Saccharomyces cerevisiae S288C: one gene and its partners. The gene in region 2 interacts genetically with the main gene of each other region. Each region holds a gene or a part of one and is shown on either strand. Other genes may lie near its edges.

Evidence for each region.
Region 1: mutations in SAT4 (region 2) and TAP42 together harm fitness more than expected from each alone (negative genetic interaction), as found in Saccharomyces cerevisiae (3 studies listed by BioGRID).
Region 3: mutations in SAT4 (region 2) and HOM3 together harm fitness more than expected from each alone (negative genetic interaction), as found in Saccharomyces cerevisiae (3 studies listed by BioGRID).
Region 4: mutations in SAT4 (region 2) and RTG3 together harm fitness more than expected from each alone (negative genetic interaction), as found in Saccharomyces cerevisiae (2 studies listed by BioGRID).

Annotation. Positions count from the first base shown.
Region 1 is NC_001145.3:325,208-329,782, reverse strand, and holds TAP42 (Tap42p), read right to left. Parts: upstream 2,302-4,575; coding exon 1,201-2,301; downstream 1-1,200. Other genes in the region: FAR8 (Far8p), read left to right, coding at 1-1,123; YMR027W (putative methyltransferase), read right to left, coding at 2,494-3,906; PEX12 (ubiquitin-protein ligase peroxin 12), read left to right, coding at 4,348-4,575. UniProt on the Saccharomyces cerevisiae protein: Involved in negative regulation of the TOR signaling pathway in response to type of available nitrogen source. Inhibitor of PP2A phosphatase SIT4, which results in inhibition of nuclear export of MSN2, due to lack of dephosphorylation by SIT4.
Region 2 is NC_001135.5:125,455-130,781, forward strand, and holds SAT4 (serine/threonine protein kinase SAT4), read left to right. Parts: upstream 1-3,015; coding exon 3,016-4,827; downstream 4,828-5,327. Other genes in the region: DFP3 (DUP240 family protein), read right to left, coding at 557-1,276; amphiphysin-like protein RVS161, read right to left, coding at 5,291-5,327. UniProt on the Saccharomyces cerevisiae protein: Promotes K(+) uptake, by the potassium transporter TRK1-TRK2, which leads to the subsequent cellular resistance to toxic cations such as Na(+), Li(+) and Ca(2+).
Region 3 is NC_001137.3:255,480-260,608, reverse strand, and holds HOM3 (aspartate kinase), read left to right. Parts: upstream 1-2,650; coding exon 2,651-4,234; downstream 4,235-5,129. Other genes in the region: PIC2 (Cu/Pi carrier), read left to right, coding at 970-1,872; JHD1 ([Histone H3]-lysine-36 demethylase), read right to left, coding at 4,475-5,129. UniProt on the Saccharomyces cerevisiae protein: Phosphorylates aspartate, the first step in the biosynthesis of amino acids that derive from aspartate (the aspartate family of amino acids), including methioinine and threonine, the latter of which is a precursor to isoleucine.
Region 4 is NC_001134.8:20,728-25,731, forward strand, and holds RTG3 (Rtg3p), read right to left. Parts: upstream 2,810-5,004; coding exon 1,349-2,809; downstream 1-1,348. Other genes in the region: SEA4 (Sea4p), read right to left, coding at 1-566; SFT2 (Sft2p), read left to right, coding at 3,371-4,018; ECM21 (Ecm21p), read right to left, coding at 4,219-5,004. UniProt on the Saccharomyces cerevisiae protein: Transcription factor that regulates CIT2 gene expression. Binds to two identical sites oriented as inverted repeats 28 bp apart in a regulatory upstream activation sequence element (UASR) in the CIT2 promoter. The core binding site is 5'-GGTCAC-3'.

The DNA of each region.
Region 1 (4,575 bases), on a different chromosome or scaffold from region 2:
CCTCTTGGACACCAAACCCAATCCAAAGCAAGGTCCTTCAGAGTCACCATCACCAACCAAAGTGAAATCTTTGTTTAGCACAGCCAACAAGCGTGAAAATAATGAAACAATATCCAAGATACACTCGGAATTGTCGAAAGTCGACATTATCAGCTCCTACGGGGACTGTATGGCACTTTATGATGCAGACACCAAATCGTTAGAAATACACCAAGTGGACGCAAACTTGAATTCCAAACTCTTAAAGAAAATATCTTTAGGGCAAGATAGCGACATTATGAAATTTTTCTGGGTTTCGACGTCCAAACTCCTTGTTATTGAAAAGAGTTTCCATTTGAAATTGTTCTCTATTTCTAGCGCATCTTTGATCTCAGATGTGGACCTATTACAAGACTCAGAACAGCCGTTTTCGTCTAGTGATATCATTAATATAGACTTCAAAAATAAATGGTTGTTGATAGCTAGTAAGAATAAATCTCAAATTAGAATCTGGGAATTGGACAATATAGAGGCTCCTGAGGATGTCCCAATTAACATAAAAGAAACATATGAAATAACACATGATAATGATGACGATGATAGTAATGATTCCACAAACATTCTGGATTGTATATTGGGTATAACAGAAAAATCCTTAATATTACTGTCTTCAAATCCATACCAGCTTACCATATATGATTTCGAGGGTAAGCTTCTACAAAAAATTGATTTGAAGATTGATACAATATTATCGGGTAAGCCAGAAGAAGAAGGTTACCATTTATTTTTGGATAGAAAAACTTCTAAGCTACTGATTCAGCTAAGCAATGAGAGATTATTGGTTTATTCTTTTGATAAGAAAAAAGTTGTACTGAAGGAACAATTGACTCCATCGTCAACACTACCAATACAACTCGATTTGAACGACAGCATAATCACCGTATCATATAGTAATGGAGACTTTGAGTTTAGGAATTTAGAAAACCTAAAACCATCCATCGACGAATTTGTCGTAGCAGACATCAACTTCTCGGAAAGAAAAGAGCCTGTGGTATTTTCTTCAAATCTGATTGTAGATTCTACGCCGGTGTTAATCACCGTGAATAAAAATAACGAAGTCCTTTTGCACAAGATTAAAATATAACTGATGTAGGCAGAAAAAAAAATAATATATGAATCTGTCTAATAGATACTTATGTGTACGTATATAGGTATTTTTTTCTATCCTCTATTCATGGTATTTCCGCTTCCCTTAGCATGACTTTCCTTGAACTCGTCCCACTCACGAGCTTTATAGGTTTCTCTATCTTGCCAGTCCATGTTTTCTTCATCTGGTGCTTGCTCTGGTTCTTCGCCACCTTGAAGAACGCGACCTTCTTCAAACTCTTTATCTAAAAATTCCTCCACCGACATTGTTGGTCCATATTGACCATATCCTCGCACTTTTTGTTGCAGTTGTTGCCTTTTGTCGACAAGCGTGAAGTTCCTCAAGACTTGACCTTTTTTGTCTATCAATGGCTTATTTATATTCTCTAATTTATCGGTAAAACCAGTGGAATCATCATCATTCGATTCTTTTCGTATCTGAGTACCTGATGATTTGACTTCATGTACGGAATTTTTGAGGAAATTAGAGAGCATTTCACATTCAAATAAATTCTGTTCAATGTTGTTAATCGTATCAAGACTAAAGTGATGTAACCTCATCAAATATAGTTCTCTTAGTAATTCATCATGGTCGTGGTCCTCGTCGTTGTTTTTTAATTCCAACTCCAAGCAGTGCAGTTTTGTGCTAATTTCTTTATTGCGCTGGAATAGCTCAATCTTTTCTTTTCTCTTCAACTGTGCTCCAGATAAATCTTTGTTATTTTTTGGTTGCGCGTACAATTCGCTAAGCTGAGGGTTATAACGATCCTTGAAGTTACCTAGTTTTTCACCAACCAAAGGATCTAGAAGCTTATAATCCTGCAATAGTGTCAGGAAATTAATGAAAGATTCAACGCTTTTTTTCAGGTAAATCAATTTCATAGACTGCCTTTGAGCAACATCCGAATCATTCGACTGTCGTCTTGATATCAATAATCCTAAATAGTAATCAACTGCTAGAAATTTGATGGAAGCAGTAGACACATCATCAATGGTCTCATTAGTACTGAACAATGCCAACCTGTCAAAAATTGCTGTTTTTAAGTTTAATAATTTCTTGATCGTGGAAAGTAATAATCCCTGGTACTCTGGTGAATCTTGCCTCAAAGATGTGTGTTCCAATTTTGTTGAGTATAAGCTAATAATATCGTTGAATTGTTCTGTTACTGACGCCATGTTTATGATCTCTCCTCGTTATTACTTTCTTCCTCTTCTTTCGCCATTGATTGTAATTTGTCCTTAGGAGCTTTCTTTTTTTTATCAGAAGTACATAAAATAAAAGGCACGTACTAAAAATCTATGTGCTTTTTTGGAACATTTCATAGGGAAAGTCATAAAGTAAAGTTATATAGAGAACTTATCATATTCTTATTTATGTATACCAGAGCAGAAACAAATGACTGCCCATTTACCGCTACAACACCACCAAGAACCACGGCCAGGATTTTCCTTTTCCCATTCTTGACTTAATTTCGCGTCTAGACCTTCAGGTAAAGCAACTTGTACATCGGCTTTACAGGTTCTCAAGCTCAATGATGTAATACCATTCGTAGCAAGAGGTCCGATAGCCGTTTCCCATTTAGTGGTGCGGGGCCATTTTCTGTCGCCAGTTAATTTTCTATAGTTTAGATCACCCTTAAAAATAACCAAATTGGATTTTTGCAAATCTTTGTGCAAAATGGATCCATGGTATTTGGTTTCGTTTGCGTCCAAATTCCAATAATCTAATTCCGTGGTCCAGAAAGAATCTTCGCGGAATTCTATCTTACCGCTAGAGACGAACTTTTCCATTTCACCAGCAAATAAATCAAGAGCTCTGGATTCCTTTGTCGAGGGTTCACCACTTGGGAAGAACTCACGATCTCTCAGGTCATGAACTAATATATCAAAATCTTTTAACATAACATCGCTAACCATGTATGGAATGTCTTTAGCGTGGAAAATACATTTGGTAGCCAAACCACTTTGTAACAGAAAAGCTGCCAACATCAAGTCAGCATACAATTCAAAGCCAGAATTGTCTAATACAAAATCAACACGAATTTCTCTGCTATTGGCATCGGCCCTGGCTTTGGTTAATACCTCCCATGCTTTCTCCGTGTCATTAACAACAATCTTGGACTCGGATGCAGCTCTTGCTTTCGCCCCTTGGATTGATTTAATGTCTTCTAACGTAGCGTTGGTCAATAAAGATAAATCAGTGGCATTGCCCCACAAAGAAATCTCAATAAACTCTTTAAAAAGAACTTTCAATATATCGTCAATCTCATTTCCTGGATTTTGCTTCATTTCTCTCAGCTGTGGTAACAGATTTTCATACCTTAACGCCAATTCCACGACACCATAAAACGAGGACTCAAAAGTTGACTGTTTAAGTCTGTTGAATATGTCAAATTTAGCCCATTCGCATTGGCGTTGGAAAAGAACATTTACTCTTCTATACAAGTAAACCTCCGAGAACAGCCACTCTACAGCCCCCCAATTGACTTCAGGGTGTTTCTTTAGATATTCATTGAACGAAAGCGGGACGTTGGCAATTTTGATCTCTTCTTCAGTAAAGGGTCTCAAAGGTACACGATCAATTATCTCCTGACGGAATTCCTTGAGCTCCTTTTTGATAACTTCACCTTGTTCGAACTTAGTGCCGTTACTCTTCTCCGTTTCTTGATGCTTACTTAAATCGTCTATAGCATTCTGAATGATAATGGGCCAACGGGTGCTAGCAGTGTATTCACCAAAAGTGCCCTTATCAATTGTCATAAATCTTCCAGGGATAGTCATCTCTTGTTATGTACTACCCACTACCGTAATATCCTTTTTTTCCGTTTACACAAGGACCACAATGAACCACTAAATTTTAAAGAGTTCAAATGAAGTTTTATTCTTTTAATATGAAGGGAATAGTTGTATTTCTACTTCCGGGCAGTTATACTATCACGTTGCACCTGGGGCCTCTATGTCTGAGAGGTGTGTGGGTTATACTAAGAAATCATCGATGTGGACGATTACCGTCACTGGCAATGGTAACCTCCAATTCAGTCACTGGAGAAGAGAGGTACAATTTAGTGTGGAGTCATCCTTTCGTCTCATTCAGATGCTTAAGAGCAATGCTTACCGCAGAATCACATTAGGTAGAGAAACGGTTTTGCATGAAGGCTCCAGAAGAAGCAAGGGAATAAGCAGGGAAAATAAAGCAAAGGAAAGGAAGGTAGTCGTCAAGTGATGAGCTTTTATTCAAACCTACCGTCTGCAGGACAATCTAGTCGAGGGTCTTCAACAAGCGGTCGAAATGGGGTGGGATTAGAACCATTGTATCCGACTATCTTTGAGATAATGTCATCACAAGAAATCGATTCGTTACTGCCCGCATCCATCCGTTATCTACTGGCAAATCATTTAGTGGCGAACTTCCCTAACAGGTATACTTTGCGGCTGAACAAGTACTTTTTT
Region 2 (5,327 bases):
TTCGAGAAAGAAACTAGGTAGCTACAAAAGTATGGAAAAAAGGGTAATAAGCATTCCTTTTTTTTTAGCCGCAAAGCCTGCTTAACCATACATGAAGCACTTTAACATATAGATGCTGCTCTTCACTGTTACATTATATACAGAAAAAAGTGCTCGCAATAAGAAACAAACCTTCAGAAAAAGAAGCTTATCTTGAGCACAAGTCATTCACAGCAAAATTTCTTTTTTCAGTTGCTACATGTTAATTATGGAGTCCTGAGAGTAAGTAACTAGCCATTAGAATTAATTTCCTTCCCTTAAAAATGATAGGGAATGCACGACAATACGTTAATGTGCACCCAACTTGCACCACAGCATATTCTATCCTTTAGTTTGTACAATATTATTAGCTGTGAGAAAGCCCCTTCGTGTGGCACAAATTTATTAATCTCTGTCAAAATACTTCTACTTGTTTATACTGTATAAACGATTAAGTTCCATTATGAATTGTGAATTTAGAATCGGTTTGGTACATCGCTCAGTATAAGTGCTAAATAAAATTATCAAGATTTATATTTCATGGTATATCGGCGTCAGGATATTGCTTTCTCCAATATTCCTGTTGTGCTTGTTTCTCAACTTCTACTGCTTTAACAAAGTATGCTTCGAATATTGGGTCAGAACTGAAACTAAAGCATTTTATTACCTCATTTGAAGCCTCATTTGCTGGTGCATCTATCTGCGTACTTGTGGCGTCCTTTACCGATGAATTTACATTCACACCTGGGGGTTTTTCTTTCACAAGAAATCTGAAGAATTTGTAGCATCTTTCACTACTATAAAAGTAATAGCGAGTACTCCATAAACCATTATCAAGTAAATATTGATTCATATTGTCTGTGATTGCTCTCCATTCTTTTCCCTTTACCGCTGGCCTGTGGGTGATAACTTCCAGCAAAAGCTTAATTCTGAAACCCTCATCCGAGATATACACATTAAACGGAATCAACGTAGACAAAAACAAAATAGAAGTGACGAAAATTGAAAAACCAAAAACGACATCACAAGCTTTAACATTATGAAAGATCACAACTATTAAAATTGAAACTGAAAGTGCCAAGAAGGAAAATATCATCGGTTTGTAATGAGCCATCTCGTACAGCAAGTAGGTCATATATGATTTAAAGGTGTCTTCAGGTAAAGTGATATTTTCTGCGGATGATAACACATTTTGTTCCCCTAATGTATCCAATTTGACATCGTCATTATTACTGTTGTTGTCTAAATGAGGCTGCATGCAGATACGGAGTTTTGTTTCTTGTCTTGATATGGTATAGACAACCGACTGGTGTATATAAACAGAACACAGACTTACATTTTCAGGTTCGAAGTTTTATTGAAGTTCATAAACTCTTTTTAAATTATTTTGTAAACTTGAGCTATTCAAGCAGTATTCTTATTTAACCTAAGCATAGCCCCGGATACAAGGCGTATAATACCCAACTAACTTAAAATGAGAGCCACTTACTGAACACCTTGGAAGGTCATTGTTTGGTTGAAAGGAATATTATTAACTAAGCCTTAGAACAAGGCGTCACCTAAATGATAATGGCTTTTCTTCTGGGCGCGGTCGGGGCTTCGACTCATTTGATACTAGGTTAATTACCCTTTTACGCATACCTAAATATTTGTAACTTTAGATCTGTCCACTAAAAGCGTTTCGATGACTTAGTTGTGCTACTAATAGTAAACTCTTTGTGCAGGCAAATTATATCATCGCTGGCTAGACTTTTTGTCAAAAGTTCTGTTTATACAGTGGGCAGCTAGAGTGCTTAATAACAAAGATATTGTCCTTTAGACTTACACAAGAGCAGAAGCAAAGATAAGCACTGTTTGTTCTGCTTCCATCGTTTTTGCTGAAAATTTTGCATGCATATCCAACCAATATTTAACACCTGGATTATCTCGGTTCAAAGACTACAATAAACGCCCCAATAATTGTGATGCTTTTTTCAATCCAGCCCGCACAAATGAATACCGCTGCTATTGGATGCCATCTTCAGATGTACGTCCAAACTGTGGTTGGTATAGTTTTTAGAACCTCGTGGTGAGGAGTGTTCCATTCTTTCAAAGGCAATGAGAAAAAAAAACAGTTGCGATATTAGTCAACTGTTTTGCATGGTTTCTTTGACGCAGTTGTAAAATCATACTCGAAGGGTAGTTGGAAAATTTTCAACATATATTAGTAATACTTTTTCTGTAAAAGTGACACAAGATAAAATGACTCCATGGCCAAGTTGGTTAAGGCGTGCGACTGTTAATCGCAAGATCGTGAGTTCAACCCTCACTGGGGTCGTTAATTTTTCTTTTCTTTTTTTTTTTTTATCTCCGACGGAGAAAAAATTTTTTCTCAACCCCCGGCATGGCGAATGGAAAAATCACCTGGCACGTCATTTCATCAAATCAACATCGGCCTCCCCGTGCTAATATGTTAACAGGCCGAGCTCTTGCCATCTCACGCATTTTCCGCTATACAAATAGTATATATAATATTACAGCTTTTAAAGAGGGAAGAGGAAACGGAGAAGAAAATATACTACTTTATAGAGATATTCGGCAATTTTTTTTAGCAAAAGTTTATTAAACCCTAATATAGACCTTTACTTGGAGTTTCGATTTTAAGAATTTTTTATCATTTTTTTTTTTTGACGATTTCCTGTCGGTTTCGTTATAACCTGTTGTGTTGTTGTTGTTGTTGTTATTGCTGGGTTGTTGTTATTCACTTTAACATTATCGAATAAAATTTGGACTTTCAAAGTCCTGTTCAATAAGTTGTACTAAGCCTTTAAGCGTTTTTAAGTTACAAATAAAAACTGGAAAGCTTAAGGTAGCTTTCTAATATTAGGCTCTCAACCTTTTTTTACTCTCCATTTACCGCTAGATATTAACTAGTAGTAAGTATTGTGACTACTATTCCCTGTAATCAAAAAAAAAGTAATCAGATTTTATTTTATTTCGACATTACCCCTCAAATATATGACTGGTATGAATGATAATAATGCCGCTATTCCTCAGCAAACTCCAAGGAAACATGCGCTATCTTCTAAAGTTATGCAACTTTTTAGAAGCGGTTCAAGATCATCTAGGCAGGGAAAGGCCTCATCGAATATCCAGCCACCTTCTAATATAAACACAAACGTTCCATCGGCGTCTAAATCAGCCAAATTTGGTTTACATACCCCAACCACTGCTACTCCTAGGGTAGTTTCTAATCCTTCTAATACTGCAGGTGTGAGTAAACCGGGCATGTATATGCCCGAATATTACCAGTCGGCATCACCATCGCACTCTAGTTCATCCGCATCATTAAACAACCATATTGATATTAACACCTCTAAGTCATCATCAGCTGCTTCTTTAACTTCGTCAGTATCAGCTTTATCCTTATCACCCACATCAGCCATAAATATTAGCTCCAAAAGTTTGAGCCCAAAGTTCTCTCATCATAGTAACAGCAATACTGCTATTACACCCGCGCCTACTCCCACTGCTTCAAATATTAATAATGTAAATAAGATAACCAATACAAGTGCACCTATTTGTGGGAGGTTTCTTGTGCATAAAGATGGTACCCATGAACATCACTTAAAAAATGCTAAGAGACAAGAAAAGCTAAGCACAATGATTAAAAACATGGTTGGTGCGAGCAAATTACGTGGTGAGGCAAAATCTGCTGTCCCTGATATAATAATGGATCCAAAGACGACTTTAAAATCCAACAAGAATCCTCCTACTCTTTTTGCAGGCTTCATGAAGCAGGTCGTGGATATGGATGATAAATATCCAGAAGGCGCTCCCACAAGTGGCGCTTTAAATTGTCCTGAAAGGGATATATACAGGTCAGATCAAAAAGATTCCAAAAATAATACGCATAATATCACTACTACTAAAAAAGATAGGCAATGTTTTGCCGAAAAGTATGGTCGCTGTCAAGAAGTCCTTGGTAAAGGTGCTTTTGGTGTAGTAAGAATATGTCAAAAGAAAAATGTTTCTTCTCAAGATGGTAATAAAAGTGAAAAGCTTTATGCAGTGAAAGAGTTCAAGCGTAGAACATCCGAATCAGCAGAAAAGTATTCTAAGAGGTTGACTTCTGAATTTTGCATTTCTTCTTCATTACACCATACAAATATTGTTACTACACTAGATCTTTTCCAAGATGCCAAAGGCGAGTACTGTGAAGTAATGGAATATTGTGCAGGTGGCGATCTATTCACTTTGGTCGTTGCCGCCGGAAAATTAGAATATATGGAAGCAGATTGTTTCTTCAAGCAGCTTATTAGAGGTGTTGTTTATATGCATGAAATGGGTGTTTGTCATAGAGATTTGAAGCCTGAGAACTTACTGCTTACGCACGATGGTGTGCTAAAAATTACAGACTTTGGTAACAGCGAATGTTTCAAGATGGCATGGGAAAAAAATATTCACCTTAGTGGAGGCGTTTGCGGTTCATCGCCGTACATCGCCCCAGAGGAATATATCAAAGAAGAGTTTGATCCAAGACCCGTAGATATATGGGCATGTGGTGTCATTTATATGGCAATGAGAACTGGTAGACAATTGTGGAGTTCTGCTGAAAAAGACGATCCATTTTATATGAATTATTTAAAAGGACGTAAGGAAAAGGGAGGCTATGAGCCAATCGAAAGTTTAAAAAGAGCCAGGTGTAGGAATGTTATATATTCGATGTTAGATCCCGTTCCGTACAGAAGAATTAACGGGAAACAAATTTTGAACAGTGAATGGGGAAGGGAGATAAAATGCTGCCATAATGGGCGCGCATTGAAATAAACGAGTACTTCACTTTCAAATATCACGATATTTTGGAACAATTCGGTATTTTTTACTTAATCTAGTACACTAAGGAATGCTTTGTTATCCGGCATTCGTATCTTATTCCTCGCTTCTATTGTTCTACTTTTATATCCCGTTTGGCTGATTACGGATCACGTTCAAATTGGTAAATCCCATTAATTAAAAAAGAATTGTAACCTTATTTAAAAAAAAAAATAGTACATAACAATAAAAAAAAAAAAGATAATAATTTTGAATTTATTGCTAGACATTCTTACGTTTATTGTGTTCATGTTAACAAAAACACATGCCCGCGGTTATTATCGCTTTTTAATTGCTTTCTTAAAAAGAGTCGGTTGGTCAGATAGAGCAGATAGTAAATTATAGTGCTATTTAGGTCTGTTAATTTAAATGAAAGAAACATAAATGACCGTAAAAAACTAAAGGCAAAAGCATTAATTTATTTTATCCCGAGCGCACAAATATCTAGGCTTGTC
Region 3 (5,129 bases), on a different chromosome or scaffold from region 2:
TATACGTCTATATTTAGGCAATTATAATATGATTATAATATAACTTACTACATCTCTAAAACATGCTGTCTAGCCCTTCCATCGCAAGACTCGGCTAGACATTCGAGGAAGGCACAAAAAGCCACCTATCCCCATCTCTCCAAAAAGCTTCATTTCGAAAATAAGAAGGGAAACATCCGAATAAGACTAAAACTTTGTTCCTTCAATGACTACTAAGTTATTAGATGTCAGAAATCCCGCAAAATCGCCCGCATATCAAGGTAAGCGGCAAAACCCTATTCTTGAAAAAATGTAAATACTAACCGTGTGAGAATTTTAACGGTGTATTCCAAAAAGTCAGCACGTGATCTGCTAAGAAATCCGAACCTCGGCCTTTGTTTTTTTTGTTACAGCATAGGGAAAAGACGCATTGTGTCAAAAAGGAACATCGTACCATTACCCTCTCAGCACATAGGTAATAAGGTGACAAGTAGCAAGTGAAAAGTACCGCTTACGAAGAATACTTTAATTCAACGTAGATACTGCAAAATATTCAAGTCATTATTTTTGGCCCTTAACTTGCCTTTCCAGTTCTTAGATTCATTCATATGCTAGCTAGCAACAACGGTCACTTTGGGTTGCATTTCACAATCTCATTCGGCTAAGATCTCGGCTAACCAAAAGTTGGACTTCAGGGGTATTAGCGAAATAAGGAGATCTTTTTTAGGTTTATTCCTTGTTTTTAGTTTCATTTTGCTTAATAAAAAGGAAAATGGATATATCGATTTTCTGCATACCCTGTTACATTTGATATAAATACAGCGGGACCTACCAAATATACTTTCATTTTGCTTGTGTTTTATAGATATTTTATTTTTTTTTCCAGGCAGTCAATGACACATTGTTAACTGAAAGTGTTCTGTTATTGTTTTAATTCTAAAAAAATAAAGTAAGGGAAAAAGAGAACGGACTCATTGACAGTTGTAAAGCATGGAGTCCAATAAACAACCACGTAAAATCCAATTATATACGAAAGAGTTTTATGCCACATGTACCTTAGGTGGTATAATTGCGTGCGGTCCAACACATTCTTCGATCACTCCACTAGATCTTGTCAAATGTAGGCTACAGGTCAATCCCAAGTTGTATACTTCAAACTTACAAGGGTTCCGTAAGATTATAGCTAATGAAGGCTGGAAGAAAGTATACACTGGGTTTGGTGCTACATTCGTCGGATATTCGCTACAAGGTGCAGGTAAGTATGGTGGTTATGAGTATTTCAAGCATTTGTATTCTAGTTGGTTAAGTCCTGGTGTCACTGTGTACTTGATGGCCTCAGCGACCGCTGAATTCCTCGCTGATATCATGTTGTGCCCATTTGAAGCTATTAAAGTGAAACAGCAGACTACTATGCCGCCCTTTTGCAATAACGTTGTTGATGGATGGAAAAAAATGTATGCAGAAAGTGGAGGTATGAAAGCATTTTATAAAGGTATTGTTCCCCTATGGTGCAGACAGATTCCTTACACAATGTGTAAGTTTACCTCATTCGAAAAAATTGTTCAAAAAATATACAGTGTTTTACCTAAAAAGAAAGAAGAAATGAACGCATTACAGCAAATATCAGTCAGTTTTGTAGGTGGTTATCTGGCAGGTATATTATGTGCTGCAGTCTCACATCCTGCAGACGTTATGGTTTCCAAGATCAATAGCGAAAGAAAGGCCAACGAGTCCATGTCTGTAGCCTCTAAAAGAATATATCAAAAAATTGGCTTTACTGGGTTGTGGAATGGGTTAATGGTGAGAATTGTCATGATCGGTACTTTGACAAGTTTCCAATGGCTAATTTACGATTCGTTCAAGGCTTATGTAGGCTTACCAACCACCGGTTAGCTGATCGATTCAATCGGCAAGGTTTATCGTAAACACTCTGTGCTAGAGGAATATTGTATACACAGGATTTCATAAAGTTAGTAAATGACCGGCATTTATAGTTTGTTCTTCTTTGCATATGTCTTAATAAATATTCGTCCTACAATTTCTTTTCATACTAAGAGTTTTGTTATGATTGCCAAATTTCTCAAGCCAAGAACAGGCCCAGGAAAACTTTGAAAGTGCCATATCAGAAACACATTTATAAGGTAGTTTCGATATACGGCAATACTCGATGCATGCCCAAACTTGCCAGCCGCTCGCGATTGAATCTTCTACAATTTTTAGGTGAACATATTCAGAGGCTGAGGCCTTATTTGATAGTAACATCAAATATCACTCCCACAATTTACAATCACTGTCATTGGTCTCACAGGATCCTTTTCTTTCTAGAACTCCCCTAATATCAACTTTTTACTCTACTGTGGCTCTAACCACGTGTATTTTTCAGGCCCATGACTCACCTTTTCTTTCTTTTTCACTAGCAAACGAAAATTTCATCATCACTTTTTTTTTTTTTCACTTTCCGTACGCAGTCTTCTCCAGAGATTCTTTTAGCTTCGAAGAAATAATGTATAATATCCATATATAAGAATACTGCTGGATAATTATTTTATTTCTATTTTAACAGTGCTCTACTCATTGAAGGATATTTGTGTAGCCAATACTCTCTCCATCGCTTAAGCTCACATAGCTATCGCATTTTATCACAGAAGCTTTCATTTTTTTTAACTTTTACATGCCAATGGATTTCCAACCTACATCAAGTCATTCGAACTGGGTCGTGCAAAAGTTCGGTGGTACATCTGTCGGTAAATTTCCCGTCCAAATAGTGGATGACATTGTGAAGCACTATTCTAAACCTGACGGCCCAAACAATAATGTCGCTGTCGTTTGTTCCGCCCGTTCTTCATACACCAAGGCTGAAGGTACCACTTCTCGTCTTTTGAAATGTTGTGATTTGGCTTCGCAAGAATCTGAATTTCAAGACATTATCGAAGTTATCAGACAAGACCATATCGATAATGCCGACCGCTTCATTCTCAATCCTGCCTTGCAAGCCAAGTTAGTGGATGATACCAATAAAGAACTTGAACTGGTCAAGAAATATTTAAATGCTTCAAAAGTTTTGGGTGAAGTGAGTTCACGTACAGTAGATCTGGTGATGTCATGTGGTGAGAAGTTGAGTTGTTTGTTCATGACTGCTTTATGTAATGACCGTGGCTGTAAGGCCAAATATGTGGATTTGAGCCACATTGTTCCCTCTGATTTCAGTGCCAGCGCTTTGGATAACAGTTTCTACACTTTCCTGGTTCAAGCATTGAAAGAAAAATTGGCCCCCTTTGTAAGTGCTAAAGAGCGTATCGTTCCAGTCTTTACAGGGTTTTTTGGTTTAGTTCCAACTGGTCTTCTGAATGGTGTTGGTCGTGGCTATACCGATTTATGTGCCGCTTTGATAGCAGTTGCTGTAAATGCTGATGAACTACAAGTTTGGAAGGAAGTTGATGGTATATTTACTGCTGATCCTCGTAAGGTTCCTGAAGCACGTTTGCTAGACAGTGTTACTCCAGAAGAAGCTTCTGAATTAACATATTATGGTTCCGAAGTTATACATCCTTTTACGATGGAACAAGTTATTAGGGCTAAGATTCCTATTAGAATCAAGAATGTTCAAAATCCATTAGGTAACGGTACCATTATCTACCCAGATAATGTAGCAAAGAAGGGTGAATCTACTCCACCACATCCTCCTGAGAACTTATCCTCATCTTTCTATGAAAAGAGAAAGAGAGGTGCCACTGCTATCACCACCAAAAATGACATTTTCGTCATCAACATTCATTCCAATAAGAAAACCCTATCCCATGGTTTCCTAGCTCAAATATTTACCATCCTGGATAAGTACAAGTTAGTCGTAGATTTAATATCTACTTCTGAAGTTCATGTTTCGATGGCTTTGCCCATTCCAGATGCAGACTCATTAAAATCTCTGAGACAAGCTGAGGAAAAATTGAGAATTTTAGGTTCTGTTGATATCACAAAGAAGTTGTCTATTGTTTCATTAGTTGGTAAACATATGAAACAATACATCGGCATTGCTGGTACCATGTTTACTACTCTTGCTGAAGAAGGCATCAACATTGAAATGATTTCTCAAGGGGCAAATGAAATAAACATATCCTGCGTTATCAATGAATCTGACTCCATAAAAGCGCTACAATGTATTCATGCCAAGTTACTAAGTGAGCGGACAAATACTTCAAACCAATTTGAACATGCCATTGATGAACGTTTAGAACAATTGAAAAGACTTGGAATTTAAATCCACCTTTCTTCTTCACTTTAATGATAGAATATTAATTTTCCCTTTATATATATATATATATATATATACGCGCACATATATTTACATATATATTAATGTTTTGTAACCTATATTGGGGCGATTATTCCCTAAATGTAATGTCAGGGTTATACTGTATCAATTGCTAAAGTAGATCTCATTCATCGAGAGCATAGGATGAAATAAAAGATACAAGAACGTGGCGGACAAGAAGAAATTTTACGAAATAAGATCGGCTAAAGCTTTCGCTAAATGCTTCTTTGAAGTGAAATTTAACGGCTTGTACTTAACTTCAGGTTTTATAACGTATGCATGAAGTGATTGAATTGCGCAATTAGTGGTCCTGGAAAGCAAATCCCCATCACTGACATCACTAGTGATTTTATTTTTATCAAGCGCAAGATACTCGCATAATTTACCCATCACTTGATCAAACTTCGGGAAGGTAAATCTTCTAGGAACCTTTGTTAACTTTTCAATTTCCACAATTTTAAGGTGTGTCTCCAAATCACGGATGGTTAAAAAGTTGCCTCCAAATACCAAAGAGTCTACTGGTGTATAAACTGCATGAATATATCCAGCTGGAATCATAAACAAATCACCAGCATCTAATTCCATCGCAATACCATCCTCAAGAATATCACCGAGGAAAACACTATTTTGGTCTTCTTTTAAAGACCACTCAATATACTTATCTATGTTTGATTGGGTAGGTGGAAATAATAAAAACTTCTTCTGTCCTGAGATAACGTTATAATAAACAGAGGTACCGGCAAAATCCAAATGAAAATCCGTATAAGCATCCTTTACAGACATCAAAATATATTTGGTCACTTTTGGCTTGGGGTCATTCTCCTCCGCCTTCTCCCCATTG
Region 4 (5,004 bases), on a different chromosome or scaffold from region 2:
TCATGCGAATCATCATGATAATTCATGTCCCAAATTTGTAAAGATGAATCATGCTTATTTCTGTCAAGACCCATTGCTATAAGACCATTCGTATTTATTCCCAGAGAGTTTATACACCGCTGCTTCTTTGCTCGTACACGTATATCATAATTGGTTTCTGAAACAGGGTACCCTTGGGTATCCTTTAAATTTGAGACAGATCCAACTATATTTTCCGCCTGAGCTGCCTTACCACCGCTGGCATTTGTCATAGAAGTCTCGTTATTGGCATTTAAGCCCACTGGCGCATGGCTCGCTGGCGATGAGGAATTTTGTCCAGAGATATTAAAAATCCTTAAATATCCATTCTTTTCACCAACTCCAATCATACCAATTTCTGATTCTGAATAGTCTAAGCAGGTGATACTGCCGAAGTCTTTCACAGTGTGTAATTTAATAATTGATTCATCAGATTCATTTTCCGGATCCACTTTATAGTGGGTCACTTCATCTCTTGTAGGGTTCACTGAAAGATAATCAATCAAATTATCATATGACCAATGGGTCACTTTTTTGATGAGACCCATGTTTATTCTTCTATACGTTCGTGATACTGCACTTACGACTACCAGTAACATCAGAATAACCATAGAGCTTATGCTATCTTGAAATATATCATCGCCGTAAAGTATGATGTGTAGCGCATTAGTCTTCTGCATTCATATTATCAGTGGTATACCGTTTGGTATATGCTTTCCAATCATGAAGTGTTGGCTCTACTCTATATAAATTCGACATCCATTGATTTTCTCAATAAATGAGTTACCCAAGTAAGCTTTCCATTGATACAAGTGATCTACATTCTTGCGACGCCAAATTATAAAGCACTAAAAATCATATCATACCCAATTGCGGGCAGCACATGTATATATTATACACTACTTATAACTAACCTTCTTCATATATAACAATATGCCTGATAATACTAATGCATTTAAATCATATCATGAAAGAAAATTACATGGGTTTTATTGACATAATTGCATTTAGAATACATAAAATTCTAAAGAATTAATATATCCAAAGTATTAGACATAACCAAGAATAATAGTGAATAATTTTAGATTTTGTTACATATAATTCTGCTTGCCTATCTCTTCCACTCTTTTCAAAACGTTGCATGTAAGCGTTACTAATATTCCGCTTTATTTTGTTGCAATTCCTAATTTTTTCATTACATTATCTTGCGAGTACGGAAGCGATTAACGTTCTCCCAATAGAAGGAACAAACATAGATATTGAAGTTTTACTGCTTTTGCTTACCTGACCTTTTTCAAATTTAATTTTTTCCCGCTAATAAGACCATAAACTACCCCGAACCAAATTCTAAAAGATAGTCAGCTGGATTAGAGTTGTCATCTCCAAACATTAATTTTGCATTATCTTCGGCTTCAATCAAATCGCCTGATAAGAACTCCTTTAATTCTTCATGAATGTTTGTATGTGGATGACTCTCCATAGTGCCAGCATGATTGTGGTTACCGACCGAATCATATAACGGTGGCTCCCAATTGTGCAATTCAGCCTTACTATTTTGTTCATTCATCAAAGCATTTGGGACAGATCTAATATCTATAATTCTTTCCTCACTATTCTCGCTATTATTTTGCCCCGAACTGGCATGGTGGTTATTGGTAAAAGGAGATAATGCTGCGACAGAACTTTTCTTCTCTTCCAATTCTTTTATCTTCGCCAATAACGCCTTCTTTTTTCGTGCTTGTATTTCTAAAATTTCGGCCAGGTATTGTAAATATTCGACCGTTCTATCCAAAATGATACCCTTATTTGGTTTGATTTGTTTACCTAGGTCATCGTAATTCAATAAAGATGGTGGAACCAACTGGCCGAGTTCTTTTATCTTTTGCTTTATTAATTCTCTTCTTCTCCTTTCGACGGCATTATGAAACTCTCTTTTGCGCCTCAGTTTCTCATCAGAAGTTAACCCGCCTAAAATCTTTGGAACACTTCCAGGTCCTATATTTTCAGTCATATTGCTACTTATTGAAGTGTGTCTTGTTCTGGGTGTGTTTATGCTACCATGCCTAAAAGAAGATGAAAGGAAACTTCCTGCACGAAATGACGATGATGGTGATCTTACCTTTGGGGAATATGTGGAAGATACGGATGCTGGGCCCAAGCTTTGTGGATTATAAGAAAATGATGATGAATATGTGTTTGGTGTCATCATATCAGAATTGATGCTAGAAGATAAAGAGGAGCTCAAATCATCAGTTAAGTTATACATTGTGTCATCGGTGCCATGCTGAAATAAAAAGTCATGTGGTAACTCAGCTTTTAAGCCTTCTTGTTGCTGTAATGGAGTATTCATTGCTCTATCCACAGGTGAGTCGTAAGCCATAGAATAAGATGATCTCAAGGGACCCTGCCCTATGGAAGATATGGAATTTTGAGTGACAGGTCTACCGCCTTGGCTTGTTCTAAACATATCATCCAGGTAAGACGATTGCGATTCTGCTTCCTCATATATGGTCGAAGCTGTAGGAGTTTGTGAATTGGACCTCGCTTGACTGCCCATTAAGTTATTATTATCGTTAGAGTTGTGCGTATTGATGTATGAGAGTTTTTCATGCTGTTGGGCAGGAGTCTCACCACCTGGGTAGGCACTTCCGTGTATCTTGTAATCATCATTGTGGTGTGGAGTGGGTGTCACTAACGAAAAATCTAAAGTTTCCTGGAGGACTTTTGTCTGGTTCATTAATTCGTCCAGTAGACGTTGGTTCTCAGCCTCACTTTCGTTATTGTTCATCATTCTTCACTTATTTAAGAAGTAGGTTCGCCTGACAAAAAATAAGAGTATTCTATTAAAGGATACTTGTCAACTAAGTAATGTGAATGCAGTAATGTCGTTTTTGTTATCTTATATATGCTCACGTAAGACAGAAATTCGGATTGTGAAAAATTCCTTGATGATTCCGTGCAGCCTCTAGCCAAAATAGCAACTGCGAGTAAAAAATAATGTACTAACCTGCAGTAATATTGGAGATCCTACTGTCCGGACCGAGTAGTACAATTGTTAGTTTCTGTTGCTCATAAGAAGGCTTTTCTAATCACCATGGCTTTATTATTTCAAAAGTAACTTGCGAAGAGTCACATCCCGCGGAACGGCCCGCAATCGTGACCCGGCAAAAGGCGATTGTAATGAAGAGGGAGTATTGGTCAAGACTTGTACTATACTGAAATAGGAAGAAGATTGAATAAATTTGCATTCTAATTGCGTTCGGTAGTTTAGAGTAGGACTTAGATTACCTGTATTGTCTGCAGTTGCGTTTTTTTTTTTTGCTGGTAAAAAAAAAGAACAAGTGTGGAGAATATGAGCGAGGAACCACCTTCTGACCAGGTCAATAGTCTCCGTGACTCATTGAATCGATGGAATCAAACAAGACAGCAGAACTCGCAGGGTTTTAATGAATCTGCGAAGACATTGTTCTCAAGCTGGGCGGATTCTCTCAATACCAGGGCCCAGGATATATATCAGACGTTGCCTGTATCTAGACAGGACTTGGTGCAAGACCAGGAGCCGTCGTGGTTCCAATTGTCAAGAACGGAAAGAATGGTACTTTTTGTCTGTTTTCTTTTGGGTGCAACAGCCTGTTTCACTCTTTGTACTTTCCTTTTCCCCGTTCTAGCCGCTAAACCAAGAAAGTTTGGTTTACTATGGACAATGGGGTCCCTACTATTTGTTCTTGCGTTTGGGGTACTTATGGGACCACTCGCGTACTTAAAACATTTGACTGCAAGGGAAAGGCTGCCTTTTTCGATGTTCTTTTTCGCCACATGCTTCATGACGATTTATTTCGCAGCCTTTTCCAAGAACACGGTGCTGACTATTACATGTGCTCTTCTTGAATTAGTTGCCGTCATTTATTATGCTATTTCATATTTCCCATTCGGTGCAACAGGTTTGAGGATGTTAAGCTCTGCTGGTGTCAATTCGGCAAGAGGTGTTCTGCGCATCTGAATTATCATTCATAGTGCATATTGAATTGATTAGTTGAAGAAGAAAAATAATGTTTATGTTATAAGAAACAATAATAAAGAGATTTATAACCTAACCTAATTAAATAGCATGTAGTCAACAAAAAGGGAGTAAAACATGCAGTGGCTCTATATATATAATTATCGTAGAATAATTCAAAAAAAAATAAAAAACGAAAAAATTCATTCTTCATCACTCATCAAAGGCACTATTTCGTCATAACGCGGAGGCTCGTTACCATGAGAGAGTAGCGAATCTGCGGAGCTCGAACTTACTATTCCTTCTTGTTCTTCATCATCTTTTACATTCGCTAAAGTGTAACCCTTTTTGAAAAATTCGTTCTGTTTGTCCTTAGAGTTTTCAGTGGTAGCGTTTGGAATCCTCACAGTACCATTTGCTTGTGATAAGCCATTTGTTGGTGATGAATTGTGAGATCTATTGACGGGCGATGGAGTGCTCAATAATTTATCGAGATTATTGAATCTTGACCTGTCATTCACTGACGTTGCTCTTGCTCTAGCAACACCTTGGCCACTATTGCCCGAAACAAATGCGGAATTCGAAATACTGCCGTTCATGGCATTGGCATTTGAAATACTGTTCCGATTAACATTTGGCACACCGGCATCATCGCTGTATCCGGATGGCCCACTAACTGACGTAGTTCTTGATAAGTTCAATTGTTGAATAGATAGTAAATCAGGGTCATACGAGGCCATGATATTAGGTGATCCCATCGGTGAGACAATGGGAGAAGCTGGAACGGATATGGCTTCTTCAAAAGTTGGCGGAGGTGGACATGTGTTACCAAAAAAGTCGCTGTTCATACTTAGAGGAACCTGGTTGCCTTTGCCTTCCATTGTGGCCATATCATAAGTGGGTAACTCCATATTACCACTGTTGCACTGTTCAGACACCAGGAATATGGGCGTATCGATTAGAACCTCATAATGTCTTAATTTGGACGG